3 linked regions of the Coturnix japonica genome follow. The protein of the gene in region 2 purifies or fractionates together with the protein of the main gene of each other region. This does not show direct contact. Links are inferred from orthologs where the notes say so. Each region holds a gene or a part of one and is shown on either strand. Other genes may lie near its edges. The genes, in order: STK38, SMURF1 and SMAD6.

Region 1 (3,645 bases), on a different chromosome or scaffold from region 2:
TCTTTCCTAGAAGTCCAGCTGGGTAAAAAGAAATGCAGTCAACAAACACAGCCCTGCTTAGCAGCTTGAAAACAGATGTACATGAGCTCAAGCCATAGACCAGCAGCTAATACAAAGGTTTGGCTAATAGAGATGGAACAATGATACAGGTGTGACTGTGATACAAAACCTACCAGCAGAAAGGGATGTCCAAGGCTTTCAGAGGATTCTATGCAGCCCTGTGGCTCCTCCTGAAAGGCACAGAAATGAGGTACCCGACTGTTCCTTAATGCCTTATAAAAGCTTTATCTCAAAACTGAGGTTTCAGACTTTAAAACACAAGTACTAAAAATGTATAACAATTATTATTATAGAGGTTCTCGCAGCAAGTTGTCACAACTTAAGAGTGGTCCAGCTTCTCTTATCTTTGGTATTTATACATAAAATGTCCATCTGTCCCTTTAGTAAAGGGCTAACAATGCCACTACTGCCCCCAAATCCTTTATCCTCATCCCCTGCAGCTTCAAAGGGTTTTGCTTTCTGAAGTGTTAAGGCAGTAACTTAAGCTGTTGGGAATATCTAAGTATTGATACCTCTCACTTTCCTTGTGGTTTATAAGGCAACATTTTCCCAATGGTTCCAAATAAACTGCAGGATGAGGGCAGGACAATCTGATCGTGACTTCAGTTAGCCCTTATTCACAAGTAATTTCTATTGCCTGCAGTGCTTGGATTAAGGCTGTCCTTGCATTTCAGCTTCTCTAGGATCCAACTGGTATCTAAGCTGCTTATGGCAAATAGTTCAACCCCTGGGACGCATCCCAAAAGCACAAGGGGTGGTTGGGGAGAGGATGCAGCAAGTCACCACCCAGTCTTAACTACATACAGACAACTTCCAGTCCCACAGTCAGGCCCTCACAATGGCACTCAGTTCAAAAGACATCAAAGTGAAGAGTCCTTAAAAGCACCTATTAAAACAAATTCACAACAAACCCTATTTTCTTTCGTATCCTAATCTAGAAAGTAAGGACTAAGCGTAACAGAGCCTTCCTATTGCTTTGGAACACTGCTCTATTTTGTTTCTAAATAGCTTTTCTGGCCATGCTATGCCATTAGTGTTCAGCACCAACAAAGGTTTAACAACCCGAAGACAGTTCTAACTGATCAATGCTTTTAGAGACCTCATTACAAACATCTAATTGCAAATTACAAGGCTGGTACCAAGCAAACCCAAAGGGTAACGCTGCCTGTCACTGGAAGTGCAGAGCTAAGTGCAGAACAGGGCCAATATGGAGCTTGTGATTGGTAACAAGACATTACCTAAAACTCAGATGGGGCTGAATCCTCCCTCCCAAAATGCGGGTGTGGGTCCAGAGATGTTCAGACAAGGAAAGGCACTTTGGGGCTCTCCTAGAGAGCAGCCTGATCAGAACTTGTATAAATGACACAAGGCGAGAATGTGAGTTTGGGGTGGTTGGACCCACAGCCTACTGACCCTGCGAGGCACTGTGTCTTTTGGAGACCACAGGGACAAGCTGCTTCTGCTCCAAACCAAGAGCAAAAAGGCCACAGAAGATGCTTTTAACCACCGATGAAGATGCCCGTCTCAAAACAGCCAACAGATGGCAGCAGCATGAAGCCCATGGCCAACCCAGCTGGACCCACACACCCACCACTGCTGTTTTAACCTCCATCTCTCTGCACTAACTCTGGATCCAGCTGTAGTCTTCATTATCCACATTGCTTATAGATGCGTCCTATAAGAACCGAGAACTGGTGGTGCCTGGTGGAAGAAGCTCCCCATTTCTCTTAGCACTGTCTGGAAAAGAAAAAGCGTTGTGCAATTGCTTTTAATTTAGGAAAAGAAAACACTAAATGGCTTTGAGGGGGTCGCTGCTTTAGTACCAAAAGTAAAGTGCTCTGCAACTTGAGGCCACTGCTACGGAGCTGAGAAATGCTGCTGAAGAGGCTTCCAAGTAGCATCGTTTAGGAAAGAAAAAGGATACCCACCACTACAAAGTAAAGTTAAGGCAATACAAGTTGTCTCCTCCTAGATAGCTTGCCTGCCTCGAGCTTTAATTATTGCTTTGTCTCCTCTGTACTGAAGCCCTTTGCAACCAGGAAAACGCTGATAGAACTGGCAGGTTGAGTTTATCACTCAATGCAGGACTGGTGAAGGGCCCATGTGGACATCACACGCTCTGCAATGTCACATGAAGGCCTGCTTCTATCTCCCAAAGGACTGGACAAATCTGGTGAAGAGTTTAGAAAGGAAACTGTGACCCTTGTTGCTCCTGAAGCAGCACTTGCAGCAGTGATGGCATGTGGTCTGTGGGAGTTTGCAATGGTGCAAGAAAGAGCAAATCCTCTGTAACAGCCATAGAGTGTAACAGAACAGCATCCTGAAGTCTCCTCCAAGAGGTAACAGCCCTCGAGTTGTCTTTAAAAAAGTAACTTCATGTTTAAAAAAAAAAAGTTCATTTATGGGTAAAAACCCAAAAAAGTTACAAAAAGAGAAATCCACGGCTCAGAAGCTGTCCCAGGTAAAGCTTAATTACTTCCCTGCTTTCATATAGGATGGTATTGCTCCTCGGGCTGTCAGGCCCTCAAAACGCTTATAGGTGTAATTGATGAAAACCCAGTCCTTGTTCTTGTAGTCCGTCTCCGGGTGGTTGCTTGTTGCCACTGAGAAGACAGTAGGAAAACAAGTCATCGTTTGGAAATGCAGTGTTTCCCCCCAGCACGTACCAAGCACTGCAGGCAGGAGAGGAAGCTTATAAAGACATACAGATTTAAGCACTCTATATCATTATTTGCTCCAAATCAACAGCTGCAGTGGCATGCTTTGTAAACACATGGGACATATACATACACAAAGCATTTACCTGTTGGCTTCAGGATGTCAGACTCTGGAAATTCATCAAAGTTTGAGGTATCGTCGATGCTTTTAATTTCTATTGAAATTGCAGCAGGTCTCTCCCTGCCAAGAAGAACAGATTGAACATTAAGGTTTCAAAAGCAGAAGAAAGCAGAATTCAAACACTTCCCATTACTGAACAGATTCAAGGACCAATGGCACCCAGACCTTAGCAAGCTTCAGATACAGCCCAAAATACTCTCACCCATATCTAAGCATGAAAAATGGCAGCCAAGCTGCTCGGTGATGCTCAGCAGGACTAGCAGCGAGTTCTTCTATAAAGCATCTTACCTTATATGCTCCCAATCAACCCCTTCAAAGAATGGATTACTCTTTATTTCCTCCACACCAGATGCACCAATTCTGTGCTCCCATTCACAGCAAAATCTGGGATGGAAGGAAGAATGAAAATGAAGGGAAAAAATGAAAGCATCCCATCCAGAAATGGAATGGCTTTCCAAACTGACAGCACCGGTTTCACAACATATAAAGAGGCTGAAGATTCCCATTTCAAAGACAACAGCATGAAGTTACACTTAGCAACGTCACATCAAATGCTGCGGGTCAGATGTGGTCCTCCTCCACACAACAAAGAACATATAAAGCCTAAAAGCTACACACTGATATTTTTCATCCTGAAAATGGGTTAGTGCTTGAAAATATCAGGTGTTTACATAAACATGGAAGAGTTGCATGCATTGGGATGCTGCATGCTCCAGCACAGACCACGTCACAGCTCTTGCTATGTTC
Region 2 (3,645 bases):
AGCTCAGTTTTGTATCAAACAGCACTTTTCTTATACTTTACATCTAAAAACTACTCTTTCTAATCCTCAATGAAGATTCATTGCTATGAGTAATTTATCAGTGAATACTTTTGCTGAATATGTGGACATTAACATCTCACTATTCAGAATAATTGATCTCAGGGCAGACAAAAACCACAGGTAGAACAGAAGACATAAGCCAAGCATCAAGCAATAAGAACTTCAGTCAACTATTTTGCTGGCTGCAGAGTACAGGTATTTCCAAGCTAGCAGAACATACTTGGATTCATCTAAGCACCTCACACGGGTTAATCCATAGCCAGGACTAAGATGGCTACTTTAAGACAAAGGGAAAGTACACACTGACAAGTGGAACATTTCATCTTACCAAGTGTGGGCTTTTGGAAGGTTGTCTGTGTTTGCATCTATTAAATGGATGGTAAACAGTCTGGGTCCTGCAGCGCCTGTAGAACCTTACAAACAGACATTCTAGTTAATGCACTTCAACAAAATAGCATTAATGCACACGTATTTTGCTATTTATAAAAAGGCAAGAGAAAATCACAGTTCCAGGTGCAGATACAAGTGTGCTATAGCCTGTCTGCAGATCAGATTTGCAGCTGGTGAAGAGATAATAGAAATGATGGGTCTCTTAATGACAACAAACTTGCAGAGCAGTATTTTGGAACGTGGTTAAACTTCACATAGTTATATTGAAAAGTCTCAAAAGTAAGAAGACTTTTCTTGCAAAACAGAACTATGCATTCCAATTCTGAAGATCAGTTTGCTGTCAGCTAACACAAGCAATGCTATTAGAAGAACCACAAGTCTAGGACACTGCTACCTTTTATGACAACCAAAACTGCAACTTTCAGGAAGTTGTTTCAGTCTAATGGTCTGCTGCCAAGCATCAATGGGGATACACTTCTCATGTAAAAGAACTGCTCAGTCTGCTCTATAATCACGTACATGCTCTTATGCAGTGATACTAACAACATCAGTCCACAGAACTGTAAGAGACTGATAAGCCAGTACTGACAGCAGCCTAAGTGCTACGTGAGGACAGATTGTCCAGCTTGCATGACTTGTTAGCAACAGCTAAAGTGGTCACCAGCAGCCACTGATAAACGTAGAACTGCTCTTAGGATGAAAAGCTTGCAAGTGATCGAGTTATCCAGTATTGATATTGCTGATATTCCAGAAGGGCCCAATAAATTCCACACAGTCTTCCTCCCACTGCATGTTAACTCAGCCTCCACATCAGTCACCTTGTAAAGCCTTGAAACCTTGAAGTGGGACACGCGTTGAACCTGTCACAAACTGCAAAAGCCTTGCCCTTCTTTCTTCATCAAATGTTTCCACCGCTTGCCAGAACCACTTCACAATATTGCTATCTGCCATGCAGTGCTTTAGGCGTGTGTTTGACTTCCAGTCATTCAGGTCTATCTTATCCAGGCCTCCTATGATTAGCTGTTAATGGATTAGAAAATGCTTTAACATTCAAAGTCATTTCAGTTTTGCAGCTATGAAAACATACATTGAATTATTTCACAATGCCCAGCATTCTTTATGCACTCGAGCCACCTTCCTGGTACACAGTAACCCTCCAAAACAGTTTAGAACAGGAAGTAAATCTCCCCAGTTAATCTGCAATGAAACTGAAGCCGAGGATTGCACCAGAACTGGAATTTTCAGAAGAAATCAGATTCAAATGCCCATTCAAGACCTGCTTTTTAAATCTACCCCACCTGAAAAGTACAGTGAATCTTTGTGAGGACACAGCACAGACTTGGATGAAGGCATGCCATCCACTGAGTTGACACAGAAATCATTTTCCTGATCTGGCTTTGTCCTAGAGCTGCTAATAACCCACTACAAGAAAGTGCTGCTCAGTTTATGGTTACAGCCTAATTGGTCTATTGTCCATAACTAACCATTAAATACAAAAACTTAGCAGCTGTTTTTTGATGTTGTTTATGAGAGTGTCTGACAAAGACTAGACAGATTACTTCAATCTCTTTTCCAGATGAAACCAGGTTGCAAAATATTGAAAGAGGAAGTCATTATTGGCCATGAATCTAACCAGCTACCCTGGCAACGACAAACAAATGGCATACAGGAGACATCATCACTCAAAACAAAATGTGTGTCATATTCTAAATTTCCCACAATATTCCATATTGAGAATTCCATTCTAAGAGCTGCCATTTAGCAGCTGTCTTTTTGTGACACCAAGATAGTACCCACTTAGACTAACTTACAGTATTAGGGCTGTTGTAACTATCCTAATTTGGAAAGAATTGAAATATTAATTGGATTTACAATCTGCCTTTTTAAACAACTAACTCATGGAACACAGTAACTTCGTGTGAACAACTGGTCTGCACAAACTACTTCCATTAAACTACTTCTTCCAATGCTCCAAATAGTCCACTGCCTTCTTTAAAATAATAAACAAAAATCAGAAAGAAAAACGGTGCAGAACTCTGTACCTCAGGATTAAATGCAAAGATAAACTAATTCATTTTCTATGTGCTCTCTCACTTATACTTTAGCTGCTGTAAACCATGACTTATGTGTCTATAGAAACAGACGTATTAAAATAGTTATTGAAGAAAACAAGTTCTGGGGCACATAACAGGTTAGGTCTTGCCAGCAGCTCTTCAGGCTTGCAATTCTCCCTCTCTCTGCCCAGACCACCTGCTCTGAGCATTAGTGATTGGTTACACAGCACGGTGTATTCATCTCCCCTGTCTGAGCAGTCCTCTCACTAACACTAACCCAAAGCACATCTAGAATAAAACAAAGTTTTCTGTTTAACAAACGCATAACCTTCTAGTATAGAAACTGTAATAAACTGTATTGTTATTTACTTTCAAATCAGTGCTTGAGTTTAGAATGTACAAATTACAAACTAATATTCCAAGAGGTTAAGATGTATACCTCAAGCTCCTTCTGGTCAAAAGGCTTGAGGAGATGTTGGGGAATGAGTTCATTAAAACCTTTCTGCAGAGCCAAGAACTGTGCTTCTATGCCTCTCATAAATCGCCAGTTCACATACAACCTGGGGGAAGGCAAAAAAGGTCAGAGTGATAAGCTGGATAAGAATGGGCTTTTTTGAGCAAGGCTGGAAAAAGTTCATTTTACAGAGGAATTAGTTTTAAAAGACATTTTATGAAAGAAATGATTATTAATTCCTTTTGCTATCGACAGTTAATTATTATACCATCAACAGACAACACAATGTACAACTTACAACTTCTTCTTCCCAGGCTTTACTACATTACATTGCATGAAAACACGTAATTTATGAATCAGGTATTTCCCTCTGAAATACCCATACCATTAGTTACACCATATAAAAAGAAGCAACGTGTTCACTGCCTTCCTTCCACTACATTTGCAGGATATGTTCTGCAATACCTGACATATTCTTTCTTGTTCTCTTCTGTCACTGGAATGTTCCTGCCGTTCGGTTTGAGTTCGTGCTGTAAAATCCTCCCAAAAGCATTGTGTTCCACACAGAAAGTATGGTCCAGAACCGGGGTGATATCGTTCTCTCTAACAAATGAAAGACAGAAGGTAAACGTTGTATTTTTGATCACTTGCAGTGGCAATGCTGACAGCTTGTTATTTGAACACACA
Region 3 (4,168 bases), on a different chromosome or scaffold from region 2:
TTACGCCTTCATTAAAAATAGCGCTGCGTCTTATTTTGGAAGATGTGCGTGCGTCGGCACGGCAATTTGCTGTGATAAACGGCCTTCATTAATTTCACAAAGCTCCTCAGCTGACGCCTGCCCAGGAACAAGGAGCAGCCCCGACAGCCCGACCACGCGGGGCAGGAAGGAGCGCAGCACTTACCCAGTGGCTTTTGCTCGTCGTTAGGAGACAGCCGGGAGTAGGGAGGTGGCGGAGACTCTGGGAAAACAGAGCTGTGTGTTAGCACTGCGGATGGGCCACCAGCAAAGCCCTCCGAGCCCCGAGGTGCCCCCACCGTGTCCCACCCCACTGCACAGCTCAGCAGCGCGGTGCTGCCACGCATTGCAGGGCCGCTGCTGCCAGCCATAACTCGGGGCTGTACACCGGGTCAAGGTCCTCCAGTGTTTTTATTTCCACAACTGCAACTTGCTGAGATGCACCACCTGAGCTCCGTGCAACCCCCAGCACTGTGCAACCCCCAGCACTGTGCACACAGCGGCTCTGCTGCAGCTCAGAACACCCCCCCACACACACACTGCTCCGAGTTACAGCCCTAACAACGACCTCAGCATCCCCCCGCGCTGCTCTGCAGCCACCTACTGCTTCCCAAAAACACCGCACTCCTCCGGGGCCGTGCACTGAGAGCCCTGCGGGCTGCAAGGTGCTTTGAAGGGCTCAACAGCCCCCCCAAAAAGTGGATGCAGCAGAAGCTGTGCATGGGACACCGCACAACAACCGCTGCAGGAAAACAGCTCGGAAAGTTCGGTGGCTGCCGAAATCAAAGCGACACACTCCTGCTCCAGGAGCACAGAAGTTTCTTTCAAGCAAACGATGCAAAGACAGGAGGGGACAGCGCGTTGGAAAAGGAATTTTAAATAATAATTAAAAGAAAAAAAATGAAGGGACGCGGAGGAAGGTCGTTCGGGGCGTTCAGATCGGGGAGAAAAAAAACAAGTTCATAAAAGCGGAGCCCCACGCAAGGCCGAGCTGCGGCCCCACGGCCCCGGGGCGCTGCGGCTTTAAGGCGCGGCGGGGACCGCCCGGGCGCGATAAGCGGAGCCAGGCGGGAGCCAGGCTGGCGCCGGCGGCGGGCAGGCGGCGGGGGGCGGCCCCGCATGGCGGGGGAACCCGGGGGGGAGGGGGAGAGGAAGAAAAAGGGAAGGGAAAAATAAGGGGAAAAAATATACGTAAAATTAAAGAGAACTAAACAAAGGATTTTTTCTTTTTTTTTTCCTCCTGGAAGAAAAAGTAGCGCTGGGAACGCAGCTCGCGTTAAGGCATTCCCTGACCGCAGCCGAGCCCCGAGCATCGTCCCGAGCAGCGGGGATTCCAGGATTCCGCTTCCTTCACCCCGAGTTTGGGGATCCCCTCAGCCCTCAGAACTGCAGGGACCGCATCTCCGACATCAAACGTGGGGAGTCCGTCCCTGACCGCCCCAGCCCCAAACACGGAGGGGTCCGCTCTCCATGCCCCCAAAGCGGGGAACCTCATCTCCTCCAGGCCCAAACTCTCCCCATGTTCCTCCCCACATTCCCAAACAGGGGAGCCTCATCTCCCCCAGTTACCCAAACCAAACCCCAAACAGGGCAATATCCTCCCTCCTTACCCACCCCGTCCCAAACTCGGGGACCTTTCCCGCAGGTCCCCAGATCTGGGGTCCCTCCAGTTTGGGGCTGAGAAAAACAAGGTCCCTCTATCTCCCCCAGCCCCAAACGGAACATCCCCTTCCCCACGAACCCAAAGCCCAAACACGGTAACCTCACCCTCCTGGCCCCATAATGCTGGGTCCCACATCTCCCCCAGCCCCGATGAGAGGCTGAGGAACCCAATCCCCACGGCCCCAAACAGGGTGTGGGGGGAGGGAGAACCCATTTCCTACAGCCCTAAACGAAGCACGTGGCGACGCTCCCGACCCCCAAACGAACAGGAATCCATCCCCCCCCCCCGCCCCAACGCTCACCTGGCCCACAGAGCCGGCTGAAGTGGTACGGATTGCAGCACACGGTGGGGCCGTCGGCCGCCCCGAAGCTCTGACACTCGCACAGGGCCTTGAGCTCGGCGGGGTGCTGCAGGTCTGGCCAGCGGAACAGCTTCCCCAGCAGCAGGTGCGGGGGGGCCGCCTGGCCGCCCCCCAGTCTCAGCTCCCCGCGGGCCACCAGCACGCAGCCGCCCGGGGTGCCGCCGCGAGACTCCACCGCCTGCAGCAGGCTGTGCAGGGAGCGCTCCTTGAGCCGCTTCAGCAGCGCGTAGGTGACGGCCTTCAGCTCCCGCTCCAGCAGCACCAACCGCGACCGCGCTTCGCCTCCGCCCGGCCCGAGGGGAGAGGCGCCGCCGGGAGGAGGAGGGGGTGGAGGAGGAGGAGGCGGCTCCGGGCCGGGCCGCTCCGCGAACAGGCAGCAGCGCACCGGGCGGCCCTCGCCCTCCTGCGCCCGGCTGGGCTGTGCCATGCGCTGTCCCTCGGCCGTCACCGCCGTCGCGTTCCGCTCCGAGCTTTGGCCGTTCCCATCTCCTCCGTCCCTCTCCGGGATAACGCGGCTCCTCCAAAGCCGCCGCACCAGCCCTGAGCGTTTGGACCTGAACATACGATACGAGGGCGGCCCGGGGCTCGCTCCGCTCCGCGCCTCTATCTCCTCATCGCCCGTCCGCCGCCTCCGCCCCCGGAGCCGCCGCCCCCGGAGCCGCCCGCAGCGCCCGGCCCGCGGCGGGGCCGCACCATGGGGGAAGGCGGCGGCGGAGGGGATGGGGAGCGCCCAGCGGGGAGGGCATAGGCGGGGGGCATAGGGGGGGGCTCAGGGAGCCATGGGGACGGGGGGGCCGGCCGGGGGGCAGCGCCCGGGCATAAAACGGGGGAAGGAAAAAGAAAAGCGGGAGGGGGGGGGGGGGGGGAAAACGACGGGGGAGAAAATTAAAAAGGAGGCGGCGATGAGGGCGGAAAAATGGAATAATGGAAGAGGAGAAGCGGGGGAAAAAATCCTCAAAAATAATAATAATAAAAAATAAGAAAATAAAAAGGAAAAAAAATGAAAAAGGCGAATTAAAAAATAAAATAAAAAAAAATACACAAAACCCAACAGGAGCAGCAAAACGAAGCCGAGGAAAGGAGGATCACAAGGCGAATGAGGAGAAGCCCGTTGAGACGCCGCTCAGCCCCGCTCCGCTCCGCCGTGTCCCGCTCACTCCGCTGCTCTCCCTGTTCTCTCTGTGTCTCTCTGCGCTGCGCCGCGCGCCCGCCCCGGGCCCGCCGTGCCGCGCTGCGCCGCCCGCCCTCGCGCAGCTTTTGTGTGTCCGCGGCGCGCACGCAGGGCCCCTCGCGAGCGGCGGCGCGATTGGCTGCCGCCCATCATGTGCCAGTCTAGACACTTTGGCGGCTCCGCGCGGCACCGATTGTTGCGCAAACAGCGGCTCGGGTTGCCGGGCTCTTAAAGGCGCCGCGTTCCCCGACGACGCTTTACCCGCGGCGGCCGCCAGAGGAAAGTAGGTCACGGCGGCGCCGCGGCGGCGAAAGGGTTAATGCCGCTCCCCCCGCGGGAGACGCCGCGGCGGGACACGCCCCCGCGATGTATCAACTTGTCCGCCGTGGCAAAAGTTCAGGCCCGGAGCGCTCTCATTGGTCGGCCGCCGCGTGACGCGCGCTCTCGCCGCTTCCTATTGGCTCGTTGGCCGCGTTGGCCCCGCCCCCTCCGCGCGGAGCGGCGTGCCCGTGAATGAACGGAGCCCGGCGGCGCCGCGCTGGGTCCTAGTGCCCGTCTGTGTGGGGCTGCAGGGCTGAGGGGGGGTTAAAGGGATGCGAAGAGATACGGGAGGATGCAAAGGGATGCAAAGGGGTTTAAAGGGATGCAATGAGATGCAAAGGGATGCGAAGTGATACGGAGGGTTGCAATGGGGATGCAAAGGGGTTTAAAGGGATGCAATGAGATGCAAAGGGATGCGAAGTGATACGGAGGGTTGCAATGGGGATGCAAAGGGATCTAAGGATGCAATGAGATGCAAAGGGACGCAAAAAGACGCCAGAGGTTGCAGGGGATCGCGGTGTGACGCAAAGGGATGCAATGGGTTGCAATGGGATGCAATGGGATGCAAAAGGTTGCACAGGGATGCAAGGGGTTTCAGCGGGATGCACAGGGATGCCGAGAGTTGCAAACGGTT

What was found.
Region 1: the proteins of SMURF1 (region 2) and STK38 purify together in Homo sapiens (affinity purification with western blotting; 3 studies listed by BioGRID, with this or other methods). This does not show direct contact. The link is inferred for Coturnix japonica from reciprocal best matches to the Homo sapiens genes SMURF1 and STK38.
Region 3: the proteins of SMURF1 (region 2) and SMAD6 purify together in Homo sapiens (affinity purification with western blotting; 4 studies listed by BioGRID). This does not show direct contact. The link is inferred for Coturnix japonica from reciprocal best matches to the Homo sapiens genes SMURF1 and SMAD6.

The regions. Positions count from the first base shown.
Region 1 is NC_029541.1:1,920,087-1,923,731, forward strand, and holds part of STK38 (serine/threonine-protein kinase 38), read right to left. Parts: intron 3,283-3,645; coding exon 3,187-3,282; intron 2,959-3,186; coding exon 2,864-2,958; intron 2,664-2,863; coding exon 2,533-2,663; 3' UTR 1-2,532. UniProt on the Homo sapiens protein: Serine/threonine-protein kinase that acts as a negative regulator of MAP3K1/2 signaling. Converts MAP3K2 from its phosphorylated form to its non-phosphorylated form and inhibits autophosphorylation of MAP3K2.
Region 2 is NC_029529.1:4,322,447-4,326,091, forward strand, and holds part of SMURF1 (E3 ubiquitin-protein ligase SMURF1), read right to left. Parts: intron 3,562-3,645; coding exon 3,424-3,561; intron 3,065-3,423; coding exon 2,944-3,064; intron 1,471-2,943; coding exon 1,269-1,470; intron 474-1,268; coding exon 389-473; intron 1-388. UniProt on the Homo sapiens protein: E3 ubiquitin-protein ligase that acts as a negative regulator of BMP signaling pathway. Mediates ubiquitination and degradation of SMAD1 and SMAD5, 2 receptor-regulated SMADs specific for the BMP pathway.
Region 3 is NC_029525.1:16,930,454-16,934,621, reverse strand, and holds the start of SMAD6 (mothers against decapentaplegic homolog 6), read right to left. Parts: upstream 2,899-4,168; 5' UTR 2,605-2,898; coding exon 1,983-2,604; intron 242-1,982; coding exon 185-241; intron 1-184. UniProt on the Homo sapiens protein: Transforming growth factor-beta superfamily receptors signaling occurs through the Smad family of intracellular mediators. SMAD6 is an inhibitory Smad (i-Smad) that negatively regulates signaling downstream of type I transforming growth factor-beta.